Alligator mississippiensis: one gene and its partner. The protein of the gene in region 1 interacts with the protein of each later gene in a pairwise test. Links are inferred from orthologs where the notes say so. Each region holds a gene or a part of one and is shown in the gene's direction. Other genes may lie near its edges.

Region 1 (11,015 bases):
ATAGGAGCCCAAGCACTGAAGTAAAATAGTTTCATAGTTGGTTTCATAGTTGGTTGGGTCAGAAGGGACCTGAGCAAATCATCAAGTCCAACCCCCTGCCATTGTAATAATTTGATGCAATAAAGACAAACCTTGCAAAAATAATGTTTCCATGATAACTTAATGAAAAACTCCAGAATTTAAAACTAACTGGAAGGGGCATAGCATAGAAAGTGCTAAAAGACTCAACTGATGTCATGGATCATTATATTCTACCTGATTCCTGCTAATGTTTCTTCAATCCACAGGTGTCAATGAGCCTCTGTCCTTTTTAATGGAATTAATGTTCCATTAACTAATGGAACATAAATTTCACTTCAATTTTGCTGTCCTGATAATCTCTCTCTTCTGTTTCACAGTCTTTATTTCTAGTTAAAAACATTAATAAGAATATTGTGGTAATATTAGCTCAGATCAGGGGTGGGCAAAATACAGCCTGCAGGCCAGATCTGGCCCATGAGGCCATTCTATCCGGCCTGCGGGGACTCTAAAAAATGTAGAAAATTAATATTTATCTGTCCTTGGTTCCTGTAAAAAATGACAGGAGCCAGGGGCAGTAGGACGCAGGGGAAGCCCCAGGGGGTCCTCAAAACAGCAGAGCCTGCCCAGCCCCACCCCACCAGCCAGGAGCCACAACAGGGGCCTGGGCCCATGTGACTCCTTATGGCTGCACCAGTGCAGGAAACTCAGGTAAGCGGGGGTGGTGGGGGGGAAGAGCAGGGGAGGACCCCAGGCAGGGAAGAAGCTAGTGTTGAGTGCGGGGGAAAAGCAGCCCCTCTCCCACCCTGTGGCCAGTGCTCCCTGCTGCAGCCACTCGCAGCAGACACGGGGCTGTCCTGAGCAGGCACAGGCAGCCCCACACGGGCTGCAAGCAGCTGTAGCATGGGGCGACAGCCACAGGGCAGCTGAGGGGCTGCTTTTCTCTGTGTTCAGCACCAGCTTGTAACCCACCCCACCAGCTTGTAACCCGCCCACTGCCAGCCTGGGCCCCGTACCGGCTCCGGGCTCGCCCACTGGGGCTGCGCCGCGGTGGCAGCAGCTGCTTGGCACAGAAGAAAGTGGTCCCCCTGCTTGCCGTGCTGGGCAGTGTTTGCTGCTGCTGTTGCCTGCCCAGAGCTTGTGCGCTGGGCAGCACAGAGGTGGTGGTGGCAAACACTGCCTGGCATGGCAAACGGGGTGGGGCCACTTTCCTCTGTGCTGAGCAGCTGCTGCCACTGCGGCACAGCCCCAGCAGCTGAGCCCAGAGCCAGCACGGGGCCCAGGCTGGCAGCGGGGGCTCAACACCAGCTCAAGCTGGTGTTGAGCGTGGGGAAAAGCAGCCCCTCCCTCACCCCGTGGATGGCACCCCGTGCTGCAGCTGCTAGCAGCCCGCGTGGGGCTGCCTGTGCCTGCTCAGGACAGCTCTGCGCGGATGGTGAGCAGCTGCAGCAGGGAGCGCCAGCCACGGGATGGGCAAGGGGCCGCTTTTCCTTGCACTCCACACCAGCTCCTTCCCTACTGGTGAGCAGGGAGTTGGGGCTGTGCACTGCCCCCGCTTCTACTGGGAGCGAGTGGCCACTGGGAGTAAGTGGGCGCCGGAGTCAGTGGGAGCGCGGGATCCACACTAGTGTCCTGGGGCCAGCGCTGGCGGGGCCTAGAGCAGGGCGGCAAGAGTACAGGGTCCCTGCTGGCAGGGGCTCTATGGAGCTGAGCCAGCTCCCCCCTCTCCCTGCTGGTGCAGCCCAGCCTAGCTCCACAGACCCCTGCTAGCCTGCACCCCGTTTTGGGCCCCACCAGTGCTGGTCCTCAGACATTGGTCCCAAGACATTAGGACATTGGTCCCAAGACGATGAACAGGAGACACGGCACCTGTCAAGGGGCGAGGCTACCCACGCGACCCTTGACAGTCTGCCAAAACTGGCTAAGCGGCCCTCTGCCTAAAATAATTGCCTGCCCCTGGCTCAGATGAACACTAACTCAGGCGTGGCAATGACTCTCAGCAAAGTGTTAAATGTTAAGATGCTCAAGGTGGCTAGAGTTAGCTTTATGAATCTGAGCAAGAGCTATACATCTAACTATAATGACAACAGGACTAATAAAACAATAACTTTTGCTTATCCTTGCCTAGTTTGTTGTGTTTTGAAACTTAATGTGTAATCTAGCAAATAAGTGCTATTCCAATAATATTATATATTTTTTGCTTTAATCTTAAACTGAATAATATAGTGTTGAGCCCCTAACATATTAGTAAATCTTCTAGTTTATTTTTAACCGGAGAAAATTGTGTGTTGTGTTATATGTAATGATATACCACATTGCCTGCACCCGCCTTTTCAAAATCCTATAGATCTGCCAATGGACTTTTCTGTATGCCAGAAGATAGGGAGTCCCAGTCTGCCAACACTGTAAGCAAACAAGTGTAAGAATTAACCACTTTGTACTATGGAAAAGAGTTCCACCCTTAGCTAGGTCGTGTTTGATCAAGATCAATGTTTTCAATAATGTTTTGCAGGTGACACACTAATAATTCAGCTGAAATCTTAATGTCAAAAAGATTTATGTAGCTCTGGATTTACAGCCTTCAAAATCATTCAAATCAGTTTTTCCAGTAGTTTCACTCTTATCCTTTTGACTCATTGGCATATTTTCACACAGTGAGCACGTAGGATATTTCAACACTGACATACCTTGTAGTATTCTATCATGAATCTCTCTGGGTCATCTACATGCAGCTGTAGGAGTTTCTACTGGATGCAGCCCAGCCATTTCACTTTAAATCTTGAAATTAAAAATCATGTAATTCATAAGTTTATCAGAAGTGTTGAATAGTGAGTGCTGAATGTTTAGGAAAAAGGTTGCCTTCACCCTTCCTTTTTCAGGTTAGCTGATTTTCAACAATGATTGTTAGTGCCTCTCAATTTGATGCCTGGTTTGATGTCACATATGTTAAGCACAGTGACCTGGTATTTTCATGCTATGAATCCTGACATTTTAGTTGTTCATCAGGTATGCCTTTCTAATATTTTTTAGAGGGTGGAAACCACCCCTTTGCAACAGTTTATTGTCTTTTCTTTTCTTTTGTTGCCTGGTACCCATGCAGCTGCAGAAATTAACTGGAAGTAATAAGGATCTGCATTTTATAAGGCAATCATCTAGTTTCAGAATGGATAAACTATAAGGTCAAATGCCAAGTAATTTATCATAATGAAAAAAAATTCAGGAAGATAGATACTCCTCCAATACATAAAACATTTTTATTATAAACATAACTTCCTTCCTTTCTTCTTGCTTCAGTACCTCCCTTTCTAAACTCCATGTCTGCTTTTCATTATTGTTATATTAATGTTTGGGAAGCTATTTATTGTGATATCCGAGTCCCTTTATAATGGTTACATTAAGTCATTAATGGACCCAGTAGATCTACTGTGATCTCCTGCTGCCACAGTCTTTTAATTTAGTCAGCCAGATATGAACATTTGTAATTTAGAGACACTCCTTTACTTAGAAGACTACTGAAGTTGGACATTGGGAAATTGTCCCTTAGTTATGCTAGTTAGTGAGAGAGAGAGACAAAGGGTCTGTAGAGGTTGCTCATTGCTCCACAATTAAATGTTGTTGTTAGTTCTTTGAACCCAAAGATCACTACATATATTACATAATCTTTTAACTAGTTGGGATAGCTTTGGCATAACTCTTTATAAATGAGGTTCAGGCAGAAGCACTTTTCCAGAAAAAGCAAGCTCCACAGTTATAGGCCTAACAAAAAGAATGTTCTGACTTTTCAGCATCCAGGAGCATGGTATCTTTAGCGTACCGAGCTGCAATCAAGCATAAGTTACAGTCATTTGGAGATAGTGGGGTAGGCATAAAAGTGACCTAGATGTAGTCTAGGTAGGACTTTTTAAGAAGTAAATGGTACCCTGAATTTCAGAAGCAGAGTGTGAGTATGCTGTGCTTATGTTGTTTCACTGCAACCAGGAGGACAGTCTAGATTAGCTACCAAGTGGCTTTCACAGATTTTCCTCAATAGAGTCCAATGCAACAGGCCAGATAAATGGTCATAAGGATGTTGTGGATAATCAAGGAGGAATAATTATGTTACAGGCAGTACAGAAATTCCTTGATAAGCTGAAGGTGGAAAATATTGTTCTGATGGAGGATGTAACCTTCAAGGCTAGAAGCTGTAAGAAGTGCAATAGTAAGTTTCTCAAGTTGTTGCCCATTGTAGAAATGACTGGGCAGACACCACGAATTGATGGACTATTTATAGAAGTCAATAGATCCTCAAGGGTTTTTTTGTCAGTTGTATCTTTTATTGGATTGACTTCATGATTGGGAAAGACTTAGATAAGCTCTTGAATGTGAAACATTCTTTGAAAGTTTGTCTAAGTCTGTCCCAACCATGAAGCTAGTCCAATAAAAGATATCACCCACAAAAACCCTTGCTTCTTGCATAATTCATAATTCCTGGACCATCATGGCTACAATATCACTCCTATAAACCCCCAAAGCTCTTTGTCCCTACCAGTTAGAATTGCTTCTCATGTTAGTTTTGATAGACAAGGATTTTTCTGCGATGTCTTTTTTTGGACCAGCTTTTTTTGGACCAGCTGTATAGTTGGGAGAGCTGTTGGACAAACTTTTGGGCACTTCAGGTTAGTTTTAATGTGATTTTTATTCAGTTTCCAATTTCCACCAGGCGCTGGGCAGAACAGGCTATATAGTAGCATCTGGATCAGAACTGGAAGAGACGGCAAGCTTGGTGTTACCTATGTAGTGATATCACCACAGCTCATGTTGCCTCATAACAAGTAGGAATTAATAATGTAGGATGCCAAAGTCATAATCACAAAGGAATGAGTGAAACTTCTCTAAGGTATGTCTATCCTACTGGATCATGCAAGCATATTACAAAGTTGTTGAAAGTTGCTGGTAGCCGTGTTGCACTTCGCTGGGTCTGCTTACATTCCCTGGTTCACACCTTCTTGAAATCAATCTGAAATCTATATTATTCCCCATCACCCCATAGACTTGGAGGATTAGGGGTAGAATGATTTTAATTTCCCAGTGTCTCAATTTAGCAATGGGGGACAGCTCTCTGTCTGCTTCCCTTTGTATGTCATCAGCAAAGGACCCCTGGGCTCTGCTTCATCATTCTCTTACCCTCTTTCTGACTGGAGAGGCTGGGACTATAAAGAACTGGGTACACAAGAGCCATCAGCAGTGCCCAATAAGAAGTCCTATGGTTATATACATCTAAAAAGCTATGCTGCACATTTGAATGCTACCGACTAGCACCTTATCAATTAACTATTAATACCCGCACAGATATCTGGATAAATCCCTATTTCTAATGTATAAAAGGGAAAAATTACATTAAAATCTAAAAATCTGCTACAAAAATGAAACTTCATTCACATCACATGCACCGTAACAATGTATTTTTCCTGTCACTGGCACTGAAAGTCTCCTTGATGGAACCCATGATAGGCATGCTACCATGGGTCCCTCTGTAAGTCAACTCAAGATCACACAGGATGTCAGTGGCAAGACAGGGAATTGAACCAGTCTTGCAGGTTTCAGGCCAGGACCTTTACCAATTGGCCATCCTTCTTCCCTAACATGACATTTAAGGTTTTTTACATTACTTGGAGATGATGATACCTCTGTCAGGAAGTCAAGCATGATGGGAAAGGCTATGACAGCAGTTCAACTCAAGTACAGAAGGTTTACGAATGTCATTATTTATTTTGTAACTTGCTATAGCTTGGATATTATTTTTTGTTAGATGCTTAAAAGGGAACTCCATTCTCCCCACTCCCAGCCCCCTGGCAGCAAGATTGGCTGCGGGGAGACCACCCCTGGTCAGAGGGACTGGTTGCAGGTGGGGCACGTGCCCCCCTCCCCCCAAAGTGGCACCAGTCGCCCATGGTTGGCAACTCTCTTCTGGGAGCAAGGATGTTCCCGCCTAGCGTGGTCAGCTCTTAAATATGAAATGATCCTATTTGCTGAAAAACTATCGTAGGCTGAAAAAAATAGGCAAGCAAGTAGGCACGGAAGTCTTTTTTCACTTTATTTCGTTCACTACAAGTAGCCAGTGAGTGCGGGAGGCCTGGGTCAGCCAACTCGAAGCATTTCACGCGGGATGACCGTACAGATCCCGCCCGAGCCGCCGAGAAGAAGTGCCTGCCACCTCTCCCCCACCCCGCCACGTGCGCGTCCCACTCCAACCTTTGAGCAAAGCAGAGCAGAGGGAGGCTAAGGGCAGCACAAGCCACGCCCCTTTGCCCTCAGGCGCCCGCCTGCGCATGCTCGCCCCTGGCCCCGCCTCCTAGCTGGCGCCGGGCACCCGTGTACGCACGCGCGCCCCTGGCCCCGCCCCCTAGCTGGCGCCAGGCACCCGTGTGCGCACGCGCGCTCCTGGCCGCTTCCTGACGGCGCGTCTCTGCGTCACGCGCCGGCGCTTCCGCCCCTTTCCCCTCGCAAGATGGCGGAGTACGACTTGACCACCCGCATCGCGCACTTCTTGGACCGGCACCTGGTCTTCCCGCTGCTCGAGTTCCTGTCCGTGAAGGAGGTGAGATGGCGGCGCGGGAGCCCGGGGCCAGCCCGTCACCCCGCATACGCGGCGCGGCCCGCGGGGCAGCCGGGAAAGGCAGCGGAGGCCGCGGGGCCTCGTGGGTGTTGGGCCGGGGGGGGAGGGGTGATTCCCGCCCCTTCTTCCCCAGGCGCCTGCGGCCGTTTGCAGTAAACCCGGAGCGCGGCTGCCGCCCAACCCTGGGAAGGCCACGTCCTCCGCGGGCCCTGCCATTTGTTTCCAGCTGCTTGTGGGAGCCTGGCCCTGCTTCCCTTCCGCCGCGCGGCCCCCGGGGGGCCTGTCGCTCCTGGCAGGCTCTTCTACAGATGCGGTGATCCGGGATACAGACTTCTCCATCGCGGGAGTGTGGGGTGCATTAGACACACAGCCACTGCATGGCTGTAAGCCCGTGGCCCTCAGGCCACAGGTGCTGGGGCACACTAGGGTGCTGATGCCTCTTTTTGGGGGGGTTCCCTGAGGTGTGAGGTGATAAGCAGATGAATAAACCCAGGCTCAGGCTTGTCCTTGCCTGGATGATCCTCTTGCCAGGACCCTTGGCAAGGAAGTGATGGGGGTAATCGGTACCCTTGTTTTTGCAGTTGGGTGCCAGTCAGTTCACAAGTGTTATGTTGAGTTCAAAAAGCTTGAGAGCCGGTTGCTGTCAGTAAAGCTGCCGTACACCCGGTGACTGGGCAGTCAGCTCCGTTTAACTTCTTGTTGTGTTTAAATTGTCGATTTAAAGATTGCAAAGTTTACTGGTCTCCATACAACTTCCCTAGATGGTCTCATTGACTCGTCAGCTCTTTTGAGTGTATTATATTATTATATATTCTTATTGGGCAGGTCTTAACCTACTCGTGCTAGTCCTTGAATGGTGGTTTCTTTACTTTTATGGAAGTCCCCATCTTCTGAATGACTATAGCCAAAAATGCCTTTACTTCCAAATTAAAATTAGTTCACTATTTTCCTTGTTGGACTCCTCAAAATGTTCAGTGTTTTGGCCTGTTGGTACTTACCGAGGGCAAATTATCAGACCAGATATAATTTTAAAGGCTATCTAGCCCAATATTCTTTGTTAAACAGACTTGTCATCATTTAACTGTACTGAGTACTGCATATAACATTACATCTTCAACAAAGAAGGTAATAATGAGCCAAATTATACACTCCTACTAGCGGTAAAGTAGTTGAGGGCTGTTTTGGGAAGTGCAGGGTAATGCACCTGGGGATAAATAACCTCAACTATACGTACACAATACTGGTTTCTGTACTAGTTGTTGTGAGTCGGAAAGGAGACTCTGGAGTCCTTGTAGATGGTTCTTCAAAAATGCTAGCTTAGTGTGTAGCAGCAACAAAAAACCCAATAAAAGGTTGGACATTATTAAGGAAGGTATTAAAAAAAAAAATGGAGAACACATTCATCACAGCACACTATTCATACAAATCCATAGTGCACCCAGTTTTTGAATACTATACAGTTTTGGTCTTTGTATCTCAAAAAGGATGTAGTAGAATTAGCAAAGGTACAAAGAAGATCAACCAAAATGATCAGAGGTATGCAGCAGTTGCTTTACCAGGAGAGATTAAGAAGGCTAGGACTCTTCAGTTTGGTGAGGAGAGGGTATGATAGAGGTTAATAAAATCATGAAAGGGCCGGATCAAGTTAACAGGGAACTATTGTTCACCAAGTCCCAGAATACTACAACTAGGGGGCACCCACTGAAACTAGTAGAAGACAGATTTAAAATTACCAAGAGAAAGTATTTACACAACAAGTAGTTAACTTGCTGAAATTCATTGCTACAGGTGTTAGAGATGGATGGCATGATAAGAGAAGTGAGGGGGGATTTGATAGCAGCCTTTAACTGCCTGAAGGGAGGTTTAAAAGAGGATGAAGCTAGGCTATTCTCAGTGGTGACATGTGACAGAACAAGGAGCAATGGTCTCAAGTCACAGCAAGGGAGGTTTAGGCTGGATATTAAGAAAAACTTTCTCACAAGGAGGGTGGTGAATCACTGGAACAGGTTCCCTAGAGAGGTGGTGGAGTCTCCATCCTTGAAGAATTTAAAGACTGGGCTTGATGAAGCCCTGGCTGGAATAATCTAGTTGGGGGTGGTCCTGCTTTGAGCAGGGGGTTGGACTAGATGACCTCCTGAGGTCCCTTCCAACCCTAATTTTCCATGATTCTATGAAATGCATGGATGATAGATCTAGTAACAGCTTTGAGCAGAAGAATTGGAGGTGTTTCCTTTGGCATCTCTAAACCAATAATGGTGTGTCAGGGAATGTAATAGATAGAGAACAAATTATTGTACATCTGACCAATTCAATGTTCTTCCTCTAGCTTCCACTTTTGTCACTGTTGGAGACAGGCCTTTTTGTTATGCCCAGAGGAATGTTGACCTAGGCCCACCAAGGGAACTATAAGCCTCCCTTAATCAGGGAACAGTTGATTACTTGGGACAACTAAAGAAAATACAGGGACATCAGTGTGGGTCAGGTTTATGAGTAATCCACTGGGGGACACCAAGTAAGCATGCTGGCCAGCACCTACTGACCCTCAAGTCCAGGGAGCCAGCGGACTCTACCCAGTGAAACTGCCTGGAGACATGGATGGTAAGGGATAAGAAGACAATCCCAAAGTCACTTGGGTTCCCCCCAGCCAGAGACTTCTTCCTGATCTGTTACATGGCTAGCTTAGCTAGAGCCAGGAGCAGGTTGATCAGGAGGCCCTGGGACTTGGTGGGGCCATTGATGGGAAGTGCATAAAAGAAAAGTTTAGAGGTGCACTGATACTTTGGTCCCATATTGGATTGGCACTGGCCGTCGGCTTTTTTTGGCTGATGTGGTCAATAATTCCACCAATAAATGCCTCGTGCACGTGCAGCCGCAGTGCAGCATGCCCTGAGTACAGCCCTTGCACTTCCCCCTGCCAGAAAGAGCTCAGTGCTGCCTCTGGCCCCAACCCACAGCAGCAGCCCGTCCTTACCCTGCATGCAGAATGCCCCTCATGCCCTCCAACAGTGTGTGCAGCAGCAGGAGTTGCCCCCCAGCCATGTCCCCCAGACAAGCTGTTCATAGCTCCGTCCCCTGCTCTGCCCCAGCTGTGCAGCACCAGCCCCACTCCCTCCCACACCCCGGGGGGCCTTGATCTGCTCCCCCTACACACCCCTCTTGCCCCCCACTCCTCACCCCGTCCCCCACAGCAGACTTACCAGCCAGACGCCACTCTCCAAGCTGCCCAGCTGCATATCGGATCAGTATCGGCCGATACAGCTCATTAAAAATCAGCCATCGGTATCAGCCCAAAAATTCTCTATTAGTGTACCCCTAGAAAAGGTGCATAGATTCATAGAGTCAGAAGGGACCTCAGTGGGCCATCTAGTCTGATCCCCTGCCCCTGGCAGGCAAGAAAAGAGTCACCAACCCTGGGGTCATGTGATCCCAGCTAGGTGCCTGTCCAGTCTCTTCTTGAAGACCCCCAAGGATGGGGTGAGCACCACCTCGGTTGGGAGCCCATTCCAGATTCTGGCAACCCTGCCTGTTGAAGAACTTTTTCCTAATGTCCAGCCTAAACCTTCTCTCTAATAGGTTATGGCCATTGTTCCTTGTTGCTCCAGGGGATGCCTTGGTGAACAGATCGTTGCCTACTTCATGTTGCTCTCCCTTTATGAATTTGTACACCACCACAAGGTCCCCTCTCAGCCTTCTCTTGGAGAGGCTGAAGAGGTTAAGGTCCCTTAGCCTTTCCTTGTAGGGCCTTCCCTGCAGGCCTCTAATCAGGCGAGTGGCTCTTCTTTGGACCCTCTCCAGGTTGTCCTCATACTGCTTGAACTGCGGTGTCCAGAACTGGACATAGTACTCCAGCTGCCATCTGACCAGTGCCGCATAGAGGGGGAGAATCACTTCCTTGAACCTGTGCAGGGAGAAGTGCAGCCAGAACCTCTGCAGGAGGTTCCAGAGGAGGTGGAAAAGGGCTGCTACCTAGTGCACTCAAAGTTGGCCTGCACCACAGGCTCTCTCTCTTAGCAGAAAGGGCAGGTGTTGGGGGATGTCCATGAAACATGCCAGATACATGCCCATGGTGATAGCTCTGTAGAAGCCACCAGCTGAGGTCCCTGGTGACGCTTGGGATCAAGGGTGGAATATAGGCTGGTCCACCAGAGACTAGATGTTGAGCTAGAAACTATTGGTTTGACTTGCTATGGCACTTCTCATGTTCATGACTTCAAATTTTGTTTGTCTGTAACTTTATTAATAAATAAATAGAGGTCTCTTTAAAAAAATGACTCTTATTTAAAGAGTATTCCATGTATCTTCATGATATCTTTTAACTCTTCTTGCTTCAGATATACAATGAAAAAGAATTACTGCAAGGAAAATTGGACCTTCTTAGTGATACCAACATGGTGGATTTTGC
Region 2 (10,875 bases), on another chromosome or scaffold:
TAGTCATGCATCAAAAGTTAGAAAAAAGCATAATTAAGCCTGCTTGAGCAACATTAATTCAACCCCCTTGTGTGTATGCATTATGAAAGAATCTTTAATCTTTAATGACCAAATACTATTTTTGACACAGGACATCTGCTTCACTGAATACACTGGATAGACATGCCCTGAGGAAGAATCTGGGAAGGTGTAATGTGGGAGATATGTAATAAAAAAAGCAGGGGTTTGCAGGAAGATAAAGATGGTCCCACAAATAAGGTAAAGTTCCCATGCAATTCAGACCTCTGGGAGACAGTGACATATTGCATGTTCTTCGTTTCTGGTACCTGACTCGGGATCCTGGTGTCTGATCAGAATAAGTGTTGAGCATTCATAGTGGAAGTTGAAGTTAATGGAAGCAGGACTTTGAACATATAAGGTGCTCTATATAATGCTATGTACTCTGAGAAATCAGGCCCTAGGTCAGCCAAATCTGACACCTAAAATCCATGGGTAGTTTTAATCTAAATCTCTCTTTGCATACAGAGAAATGAGGCACAATGGGAACATAATTTCCTCACAGGAATAACGGGAAAATAAATTCCACGTTGCCTGTAAAGCTCTAAAATAATATAACATTGAATGACAAAGGAAAACCTATGAGTTTTCCATTAATCAATTTCACTATGTAAAACAAGGGTAATTTCATAGGGTAATTAAGACAAATTCACTGCTAGTGAAGTGCTGAGATACTATCACAAAAAGTACCATAGAAAAGCTCATGAGAAAATAATTCTGTTTTCAGAGTAGGGTTTGAATAACATACCATAAAAAAGGCATGGGTCATATACTTAACAATAATGAGAGAACTATACACTGAACAGCTTCCCATTAGGTAGACTGAATGGGGCAAGGATTCTGCCAAAAACTTGGTAAGCAAGCATGTATTTAAAGGCCATATTAGGAGGTCTATGCACAAGGTAACCAAAGGATTACACAGTTACCTTATTTCTGGCATATCCTAATTTTTGTGTGCTTGACTTTTCAACCATAATAACAGGCTTTAAAAATAAGGCAGTTGTGTACAATATGGATGTTTAAAACAAAGACAAGAACACAAAAGAGAGCATGAAGGATCAGAGTGCAAAACACACATCTGTGATTATCAGTGTGGGCAAGAGGGTCCACAATCTGACTCTTTGGTTTGAGTTTAAATAAACAGTAACCAATTCTTGTGTAAAGTCAGATCCACCTGCAGTTACTCAAACTAAGCAGCTAAATAGCACCTTAATACACAGTGAGTACATCTCCATCAGATGCTTTACTTCTGATTAGACCAAATTATTGCTCAGTAAGCATCACTGTTTACATGTGCAGATGTTTACTGCACAGTAATTTGGTCTAATTGTGAGTAAATTTGCTACCTATTGTCACAACCCAAAGTTGTGAGTTTTTGTTTGTGTGTGCTTAGGCAACGCTAAATTATGTTCCCGCTAAAATTACAGCTTCCTTGCACGGCGGAGTTCTCTGCTGCGGGAGAGAACTCCGGTGCAACGGGGAATTTCCCGCCAAATTTGCAGCTTCTTTGCAGGGTGCATTTCTTTTGCATCTCAGAGATGCACGGTGTAAAGGAGTTCCTGCCATTTGTATGGGAGTTCGCGCCAAATTATTGGCCAATTCTGAATAAAGGTACACGTGGTGGCTAGCTATTGGCTTGCTAGCCGTACAAATGCTTGGGTGGTTTCCGCCCAAGCCGGAGAGAGAGGAAACCTGGAGAGACAGAAAACTCACCAGGAGGAGGAGAATTCACGCTGTGTGAAGATTTCTAAGCGATGTGGACCCTTACGGACCCAACGCACCTCTCTTAAGCAGGCAACAGAGGTCTGATCAGCCTCTAGCCTCTCCCCGTCGCCAAGCGCTGTCCTAGACGTATCCCTATCCTATATACCCAATTTTCAGATCCGCGGAGCCTTAACAACTCCGTGGTAGAGGGAACCGAACCAAGCCCACAGAGCTTTAATAACTCCGGGGAAGATTAGTGCCGTACGAACCCACAGAGATTCAGCCACTCCGGAGGGAACCGAACCCACGGAGCCTTAACAACTCCGGGGGAACTGAATCCATGGAGCCTTGACAACTCTGGGGAAAAGAGATGACTTGTCGTAATCCTCCAACGGGGATTCAAGCAGAGCTGTGCCTGGAAAGCTATCCAGCCTACACCACTACTTCTTTTGGTGTAAGTAAACAATCTTTTAATCAACCACTACGCGTCCGTAATCAATTCTAGCTCGCCGCGGTCTTCTCCGGCCCCGCGTGCCCTGGCTGCTGGCCACAGCCCGCGTGCGCAAAGATGGGCCCCAGCTCGCCCCCGGTCGGCCCGCACACCTATAAATACAAGTAGCAAATTTACTCATGCTTAGTCACTGCACAGTAATGCATGTGTAAACACTGACCAGGAGCAAATTTGCTGCTGACCAGTCCCACCACTAGGGGGCCACCTATAGCCCAGCACTCCCAGGGCCCTGGGGCTGGGAGCTTCTCCAGCCTCAGAGTTGGGGTGGCTCTTTGCCTGCCTCAGCCCCTAGCCCTTAAAAGCCTGCAGGGACACTGGGGCCCTAGGCCACCTGCAACCAACCTATGGCCACTGAGTGTCACTGCAGAGGCCCTAGGCCAGCCATAGCAGGCTGCCCACACCCTGGTGCCACTCCCTGGCACCACCTCACTGCCCAGCTGTCAGGCCTGTGCCGTTGCATTGTGCTGGGGACTGCAGGCACCTTCCAGGCCCAGCATCACCCTGGGCCACCTGAAGCCAGCCTCTTGCCACCAGGTCCCACTCCAGCTGGCTCCAGGTCAGCCACAGCAGCCTGCCTGGACTCCGCCGCTAGTGCCTAGCACACCCTCACCACCTGCCTGCCTGTCCCATGCCATGCATGTGCACTGGGCACTGCATGTTCCTGCCACGGTCCACCAGCACCAGGACTGCTACATGGATGCCCTGCAAACCATCAAGGGAGCCATGCTGGCATCATCCCCAGTGGCACACACTGCCTCCTGGGGCTGCAACTGGTCCCAGGAGGAGACCACAGACTTTGCTGCACTGTGGGGAGAGGCTGAGATTGCACTGTGGGGAGAGACAGGGTGACAGCCAGCTGGGTGTCCGTAGGGAGGGGCTGCCATATGGTGGTGGCCTGCCACACCAAGTACAAGCAGACATGCTCTAGGAGGCCTTGGAAGGTGGCCCAGATCATGTGAAGGGACTCCAGCCACTGCTCATTGTCCCAGGTGTTCTGGATGAGCACATGGACAGTCCCAGTGGTGGCATCCAGGAGCACATCAGTGGCATCCCTGCTGGGGTCCAGGAAGCAGCAGCATGGGGACAGGACACCTGGAATGGCACAGTGAGCCAGGCCAGGTGGCTGTGCCACACAGGGTGAGGGTCACCAGGGCTGAGACTGACCTGCACAAGGTGGCAGTCCCCGCGGCGGGTGAACAGGGTGAGAGCATGGTGGTGAGCAAAAACCCAGGGCAGTGGATGTTGCTCCTGGGGCCTGAGGGTGCAGCAGCCATGGATAGCAGGCAAAGGCTGTGGTGACAGAGCCAACACATGCTGCCACCATGCTCTGCTCCAGGCCAGGGAAGCATGTGATGGCCACCATCAGAAGAAAATTCAGGCTCATTAAGGCACTCTCCCAGGTACACATCTATACATGCACATCTGTCAGGAGCAAATTTGCTCCCAATGGGAGCAGTTCAGTCCAGAGCCACCCCTATCCCTCTGCCCTGCTCTGCCCCCTGCAGCAGCCAGGAGGAGCTCCAGGCTTCCCCAGGTGCCAGCACCAGGCTAGCAGGGGGGTCAGGCTTGAACTCTAGAGAGTGGGGGGAGCTGTCCAGGATTGGGGAATAGCTCCCAGCCATGCAGTGCTCAGGATTGCAGCCCGGCAATGTGGCACTGGCTTGGGTCAATGCCCTGTGCCCGAGCATGGAGGTAAGCAGTGCTTGAACCATGGGGGGACACATGGGGGAAGCAGCGCTGGGACTTGGGGGGATATGTGGAGAGGAAGCAACACTGAAAATGGGGTCAAAGAAGGGAGACACAGCAAAGTAGCACCAGTCCCCAACACTGCATTTCCCACCTCACCCCTTGTCTCCCCTCCAGTCCCAGTGCTGCTTCCACCCCACATCTTCCCCCCAGTCCTGGTGCTGCTCAGCTCCCAGCTCTCTGCAGGCATGGGCAGGGAGTTGAAGCTGACTAGGGGACTAGTCAATTTTCCTTGGGCAGGGGCAGGCAATTATTTTGGGCGGAGGGCCACTTACTGAGTTTTGGCAAGCCATCAAGGGCCTCATGATAGGCAGCCAGGGGCAAATAAATATTAATTTTCTAAATGTTTTAGGGGCCCTGTGCGCTGGATAGAATGGCCTGGCAGGCCGCATCTGGCCCTCAGGTTGCATTTTGCCTACCCCTGGACTAAGGTGTGTGCTACACATGCAGCAGCAGGGCTGAGGGGACTGGGGACTAACAAATGATGCATTAACCTAATTTAATGTTCAGTAAGTCCTGTACACATGTAAAAGCTGATGATTTATTGGGCATTAGATTAATCTAATGTGCATAAAGCATTTCATGTAAATGCACCCAGTGTCTATCTAAAACACAATAGTAAAATAGTCACAGGAGTTAGAACAGGTGTGGGTACTGGCTATCTGACAAACTCCAGTGATTCTTCACTTCTTTATCAGAGCCTCCAGGTCAGATCCTCCTAGATAGTTTAATGTAAGCTTTTTAATAATTTTTATTATTATTTAAAACCTTCCTCATTCTTGCAATCTATTTTCAGGAGTACTAAAGACTAGGGAAAAGGAAAACTGTCAAGAACATCTGCTACAGAAGCTCTTTGAATTGGGGAGTCTGAAAGTTCAATTATGTTCAGCCCCTGAACAACATACTTCCTCTGTTTAAGTCAAGGACATCCAAAGCATTTTTTTTTTTGTTAGTTTATTTATAGGTCTAGGCTTTGATTATGTAGCAATGGAAAGGAAAATTGATGCTAGGTGGCGCAGTTGTTTTATCCACTGCCTTTCCAAACGGAGCTCACAAATGCAGTCTATTGGGCTCACAAGTGAAACAACTCTTGTTCTTAAATCTTTATAATCCCACTGAGCACAAGAAACACCATGATGGAGCAAATCTTGAGCAGAAGTCAGTAGATTGCTTGTACAAGCAGAATTTAGCTCTTTGTGTTTTAGTATGATTGCCATTCTTTTCTCACAGGGCTACAATTTACCTACGTACTAGATCACTAGGGAGTTCACAGAGTTCTGTAATCCAACATACAGCTACATGTAGCTATAGATGTATTCTAAAACACAGAAGCGTGTCTTCCAGGACCATACCTAGAATTATCAGCCTTATTGTCATAAGCCTTAAATTTAAAAGACAAAGAAATAATTAGTTAGAATATTCCTTATTATTTATATTAATATGAATCTTGTCGGATTAGACAAATACAAGGTCTTGGACACACACCTATGAAACAAGGGAATGGCATTGTTTGATGCAGCCAGCTCTTCCCAAGACTCAGTTTACAATCTCCAGGTTCATCAAGGGGCAGTATTATAGGACCTGAATAGGGAAAACTGATCTGACTGGCTGCTAGCAGGTATCTCTGAAAATCTCTGGTCTGGCACTCCCTCCCAGTTGGAGAGGGGTGAGTGAGGGCTCTCCTTTCATACCACATTTGAAAATACCTCACCCGGAAGACAGTAGTTCTAGGAAAGTCAGTAACTTTTATGGACAGCCCTGATATCATACCTGTAAGTACTTATTTTAGATGCAAGTCCTCTGAGTAGCACCACCTAGCACACCAGTCTACACTTAAGTACTAGGCCAAAGTACCTGAACAGAGAAACAGAATTTTTAGCAACTTTGTTCGGCCCAATTTCTGACTTGGGGGGAATTTTAAATATACAATATAGAATTGCAATACTATTACATCAGCTGGCTTGGAATTGCTTTCTTTAAGTGCCTGTTTCAGCAAAGGAATCATTTGGTACATTTTCTTTTCTTTTCTTTGTTTTTTTACCCTGACCAGAAAACAAAGAGGTTTGTCAAGTTTTTTTCCAGCTTGCAGGTAAAGGGTTACAGATTCTAGGAAGTTTTAAATGCAAACTTTAAAGGATTTTATTTTCATCTACAGTCACATGATACCTTAATACCCAATGACACTAACAACAGTGTCTCATTAAGAGGTCATGCAAACTCTCAGATAAACAAGGCATTCTTACATATTTAACATTCAAATGCAGAAGCCAAGCTAAGGCATGGAAGATTTTAATCAGAAGAGCTGCACTTCCTGACCAACCCAAAAGTCTCAGGTAGGAAAAGTTCTTATTCCTTTATGTTTGTCTACATTCCTGATGTTAACTATATTTTCAAGATAAAGTGTTTACCAGGTTTTTGATCTTTTAGTTTTTAGATTAATCTTTCTAATAGTTTCAGCTGGAAAACATTTGAACTCCTTCTTTAATGTTGCACCTGTTGCAGAGGCACTATGTTTTCTGAATAAAAACATTTACAGTCCACTTAGTGGTAAAGCACAGCGGAGCAGATTGATTTAATTAAAAAAAAAGTCTGACCACCTAAAGCTAAGATTAATTTTAGTTATCCTTGTTGCTAAACCATTCACGTTGGGTTTTTGGTCGGGGGCAAGTGGGTGGTTGTAAGAAAAAAAAAAGTTGATACATTCCTTGTGCCTGAAAAAAGGAGTCTAAGCATTTCTGACTTTTTTATGCTATGAATTGCATATATCATTTCAGTGAATATGTATTTTAATGGATCTGGTTTCCCATGATTCCAGTTTCCCAATTCCCATCTCCTAAAAATCTGGTTAATTCCTCAAAAACTTGCAAGTTAAATACAACGCAGGTGAAGTTGGAAACCTCAAAATTCAAAAAAAGGAACAAAATATAGAAATGATGGGCGTGGGGGAACAGTTAAGACCACAACTCTTATTAAAATCTGGGAAGTCAGGTATATATTTTTGTATCAAGCCATATTCAGCAACACATAAAATGGCATAAGGTACCACTTACCTTAGTAGTATCAGGGGGGTCATGGTCTCATTATTGCTGCAGAATTTCTATGTACTGTGTCAGGCAACAAATAGACCTCTTCCCCATATGAAGACCTCTTTCCACACTTTATTTTTTTCTTCCAACAACATAATTGTTTTAGACAAGGCACTATCAACTCACCATTGTATTCCCTTTGCAGGAATGTAGTACCCAGACTTGTTTGACAACTCTCCCTCTAGTTTATCAAAAGATTGCCCCATTGGGAATTTCTCCTACTTAAAGCAACAAGCAGCAATGTTGATTTTCTCTAAATGCTATCCTTCTGAGGAAGAGAGGATGGTTGCTGGGAAGGCCCTTTCTTCAATTTATTGTATAAATATATTTTCTTGTCCTAACTACTATTAAGAGAGAGAAGCAGAAGATAATAATAATGTGTCACACTTAATTGTGCTCTTCAGCCAGCTGTCAAAGCGCTGTCCAAAGAAAACTACCGTTACCCACATTTAATACATGAGGAATCTTTAAGCCCCCTCAAGCTTATCAACTGCATTTTCAGAAGTGGACATAAGCTTGAACTTGCTTCAATTTATGGATTTCTAATTTGAGATACCCTAGGCCTAGTATTCAAAAAGGCAGAAGAAAAATCAGTCCCAGAATGTGTTGTTGGATTTCCAGAAAACTTGTCAAAATAGGGTCCACTCTTAAATTCTGGCTAGAAGCAACTACCATAAATCTACAACACAACTCTGGGGCAAAGGCAGGAATGGAGTTCAGCCAGCCAGGCATTCCCACTCTGCATCCTGTATTAAGCCCTCAGAAGCACAGTGCAGCTGCTTCGCTGCCCAGATTGTCAGGGTAATGAGTATTCAGTTTGAGAAGCTTACTCGGAGATACTTGTTAAAGCTATGACTCAAGGCAGTTGCTGTGCACTATCCTATATTCACATATTAACACTGTTCCAATGTGGTTGATCAGCACACAAAATTACTGTTTAGAATGAAAATAGGGCAATGAAGACTTATCAGTCTGAAGGTATATTCACTTTTCAAGAAGGATGGGCTGATTTGCAGACCAGGGACTTTGAGGACCCCCACTACTCCCATATGTCTGCTCCTGTAGTCCTATACCCAAGCAAGACTTCATGAGTAGACCCCGAACTTCAGACTCCCCTCAAGGCTCCTGCTGCCTGCAATGGACTTAGAATCAATTAAGTATGTAGAACTGAAAAAAAAAAAAAGAAAAGAAAGTGGAAATCGATTTTTGTCATCAAATAGCTGTCTTACTTAATAACATGCATTTCAATATTTCCAGATAAGATCAGCCAAATTATAGGATTTGTTGCTTTCACATAAATATTCGAAAAACACCAGTGCAACCAGCAATTTTGCAGAGATTTGTTTGTGAAGAATAAAATAATTTTTTTTAGCTGTCAGTACCAAAATACAGGAGCCTTTGGTTTGGTTTGGGTATGAGTTGGCATGATAATTATCTAAATGAAATTCTGGTTACCTTAAAGTAGCAGTATATGTTTATTCAAATATCATTCTGTGAACATTACCTTATAACAGCCAGGATGTTATCTTGAGCCAGATCCTAAATGGTATGAATGGGCACAGCTGCACAGATTTCAGAAAATTTTAAATTAGATGAATATCTAAAATATTTATGAATTAGATTACTATCAGCCCCATCGGAAGAAAGAAGCATTCAGCTGTGCATCTCATCTAGCATCTGAGAATGTGCTTATTTTTGTGTTACTGCTGTGCTACCTACTGTTAGCAGTAGTATAATCACAGTAACAAGAAGCCCCAGTCATAAGCCAAGAGCCCATTGTTCTAGGCCCCATACAAACACAGAACAAAAGATGGGAACTTCAAATAATATAAGTACATCAGTCACAGTAGGTCAGGTTTTGTTGACAACTTCTTTGATGTAAAACTAGAGTAGGACCATTAGTTTCAGAGGAAATACTTTAAATATATACTATGATAGGTAAGAATAGAATTTGAACCAAAGTTCTTAAGATCACTGCAGAAAACTTTTCATATAATACAAAGTGCATAGTCCATGATCCATGGGAGGGGAATGTACCAACTCTAAGACTGGCAGCCATCCCACTGTAAATGGAATGGAAAAGGAGTACTGCATCTTTAAATACCAACCGCAGTATATTATGACTCTTGCATTTTAAGTAATGTTTGTACAGATTGGGTGGGTCATGGAAAACCAATATTTAGCAGCTCAGTAGTTAAATCTGCTACATGTTTAATTACGTAAAATGTTCTTAGCGAGTTTGAGAGGTATTGTATTAAATATTTGCACTGGATATTCAATATAGGTTTTCCATGGCCTCAGTCATAAAACATACAGAACTTTACTTTTAAAAAGAAAGAGCCTGAACTTGGATTGAGAAAAAATACAACAATCACATTAATTTCTAAGAACCCAATAGAAATGATATATAAACACCTGGCTTCCTTGTTAGAGGTTCCGCTGTTCCTTATACCAGTAATTTAACAATACTTACGGTAATCAGCATTGCTTTGATTATTGCATTTTGATTATGACATACTCCCATTTAACTTCATGCTTAGTAATGTCAACATGGAGTCAGCTGCAGAGGTGACTCATGGGGCTGCCCTGGTAGATGCACATAGACCAAATACTTCCTTCTGGTTCAAAGGCAGAGAAAAATTCTTGGAAATTAATGAAACATGGACAAACTCTAAAGAAGGGTCTAACAGACAGACACATAATCAATGTGACCCTCAAATAGTTAAAACAATATTTTTTCTGTCTTGTTTTTACAGTAATAGAGTTATCAGGGAACAGCATTATTATAAATGTCAGTCAGTTATGGGCCTAGAAGGCCCATTGGGCTAGTGTAGTTAAGACACTCCAACTTCCACTGCCAGAGACAAACAAGGAAGCAAAGTGGCTAGTATTCCAGTCATCTCTGACTACCTGGACCAAACAGTTAGATATTTACTTACAGTTGGACTGACAGAGGGTAACCTTCAGCACAAATCAACAGCAATACTACATCTTGATTGTAGAAATGAAGCAAAATCCCTTTACCGTTCTGTGGCCATGCTTTTAGGGTGTGAGCAAGTGTTTGCTGCACCTTTACTTCACTTTACTTTTAGCCATCTACACCTAGACTGCAAACAAGCATGTGCAGTTCCAGGAGTAGTGTGCGCAGGCATTCACTGCTCCTGGGAGCCATGTAGAAGCCTGGTGTTAGTAACTCAGGGTAGGAGGAAGGGCAGGCAGGTTGCAGGGAGGGTTGTGGGTCCAGGGGGTGGGGAGGTTGGTAGAATGAAGGGCGGGTAGCATGTTCACAGGGCAATTTGCTGGTTAGGAGTGATGGGGGGGGGAGGGGGGAAAGAGGGCTAAAAATAGCTCACTCAGAGGGGGCATTGGCAACATGTAGGGGGTGCATGCACACCCCCTGAGATTGGCTGTGCCCCCCGCAGTCTTTAAACTTTTCATCTAAACAAATGGGTTCTCCAGCAGCACAGTGCCATGTAATCCCATCCAGGAGTGTTGATTCAATACTGACTGACAAGCAAAGGAGCCCTACTTTCTGAATTATGAGCACCCCATCAAGCAGCAAAAAAGTTTTCTTCAAACCAGCAGTGACCTGGTCAGTTTAGGAGAATTAATGAGAATACAGCCCAATAGTACTGTGTATAGCAGCAGGCAGTGCCAGTAAACTGAGAGTGGTTAATTGTTACTATACCATAGAACTCAAATACTGGAAAGCAGGAGAAAGAATCAGAGAGAACAGGATTGAAACATGAATCATTACGTGTTTTTATTGCT

The links.
Region 2: the proteins of EIF3E (region 1) and C2H4orf19 interact in binary tests that used the Homo sapiens proteins (3 or more experiments, as listed by UniProt). The two-hybrid records come from large-scale screens. The link is inferred for Alligator mississippiensis from reciprocal best matches to the Homo sapiens genes EIF3E and PGCKA1.

The regions. Positions count from the first base shown.
Region 1 is NC_081826.1:32,213,377-32,224,391, forward strand, and holds the start of EIF3E (eukaryotic translation initiation factor 3 subunit E), read left to right. Parts: upstream 1-6,478; 5' UTR 6,479-6,505; coding exon 6,506-6,595; intron 6,596-10,944; coding exon 10,945-11,015. UniProt on the Homo sapiens protein: Component of the eukaryotic translation initiation factor 3 (eIF-3) complex, which is required for several steps in the initiation of protein synthesis.
Region 2 is NC_081825.1:49,321,270-49,332,144, forward strand, and holds the start of C2H4orf19 (uncharacterized protein C4orf19 homolog), read left to right. Parts: upstream 1-6,259; 5' UTR 6,260-6,351; intron 6,352-10,875. UniProt on the Homo sapiens protein: Acts as a tumor suppressor. Acts as a tumor suppressor for colorectal cancer cell proliferation by targeting KEAP1/USP17/ELK1/CDK6 axis.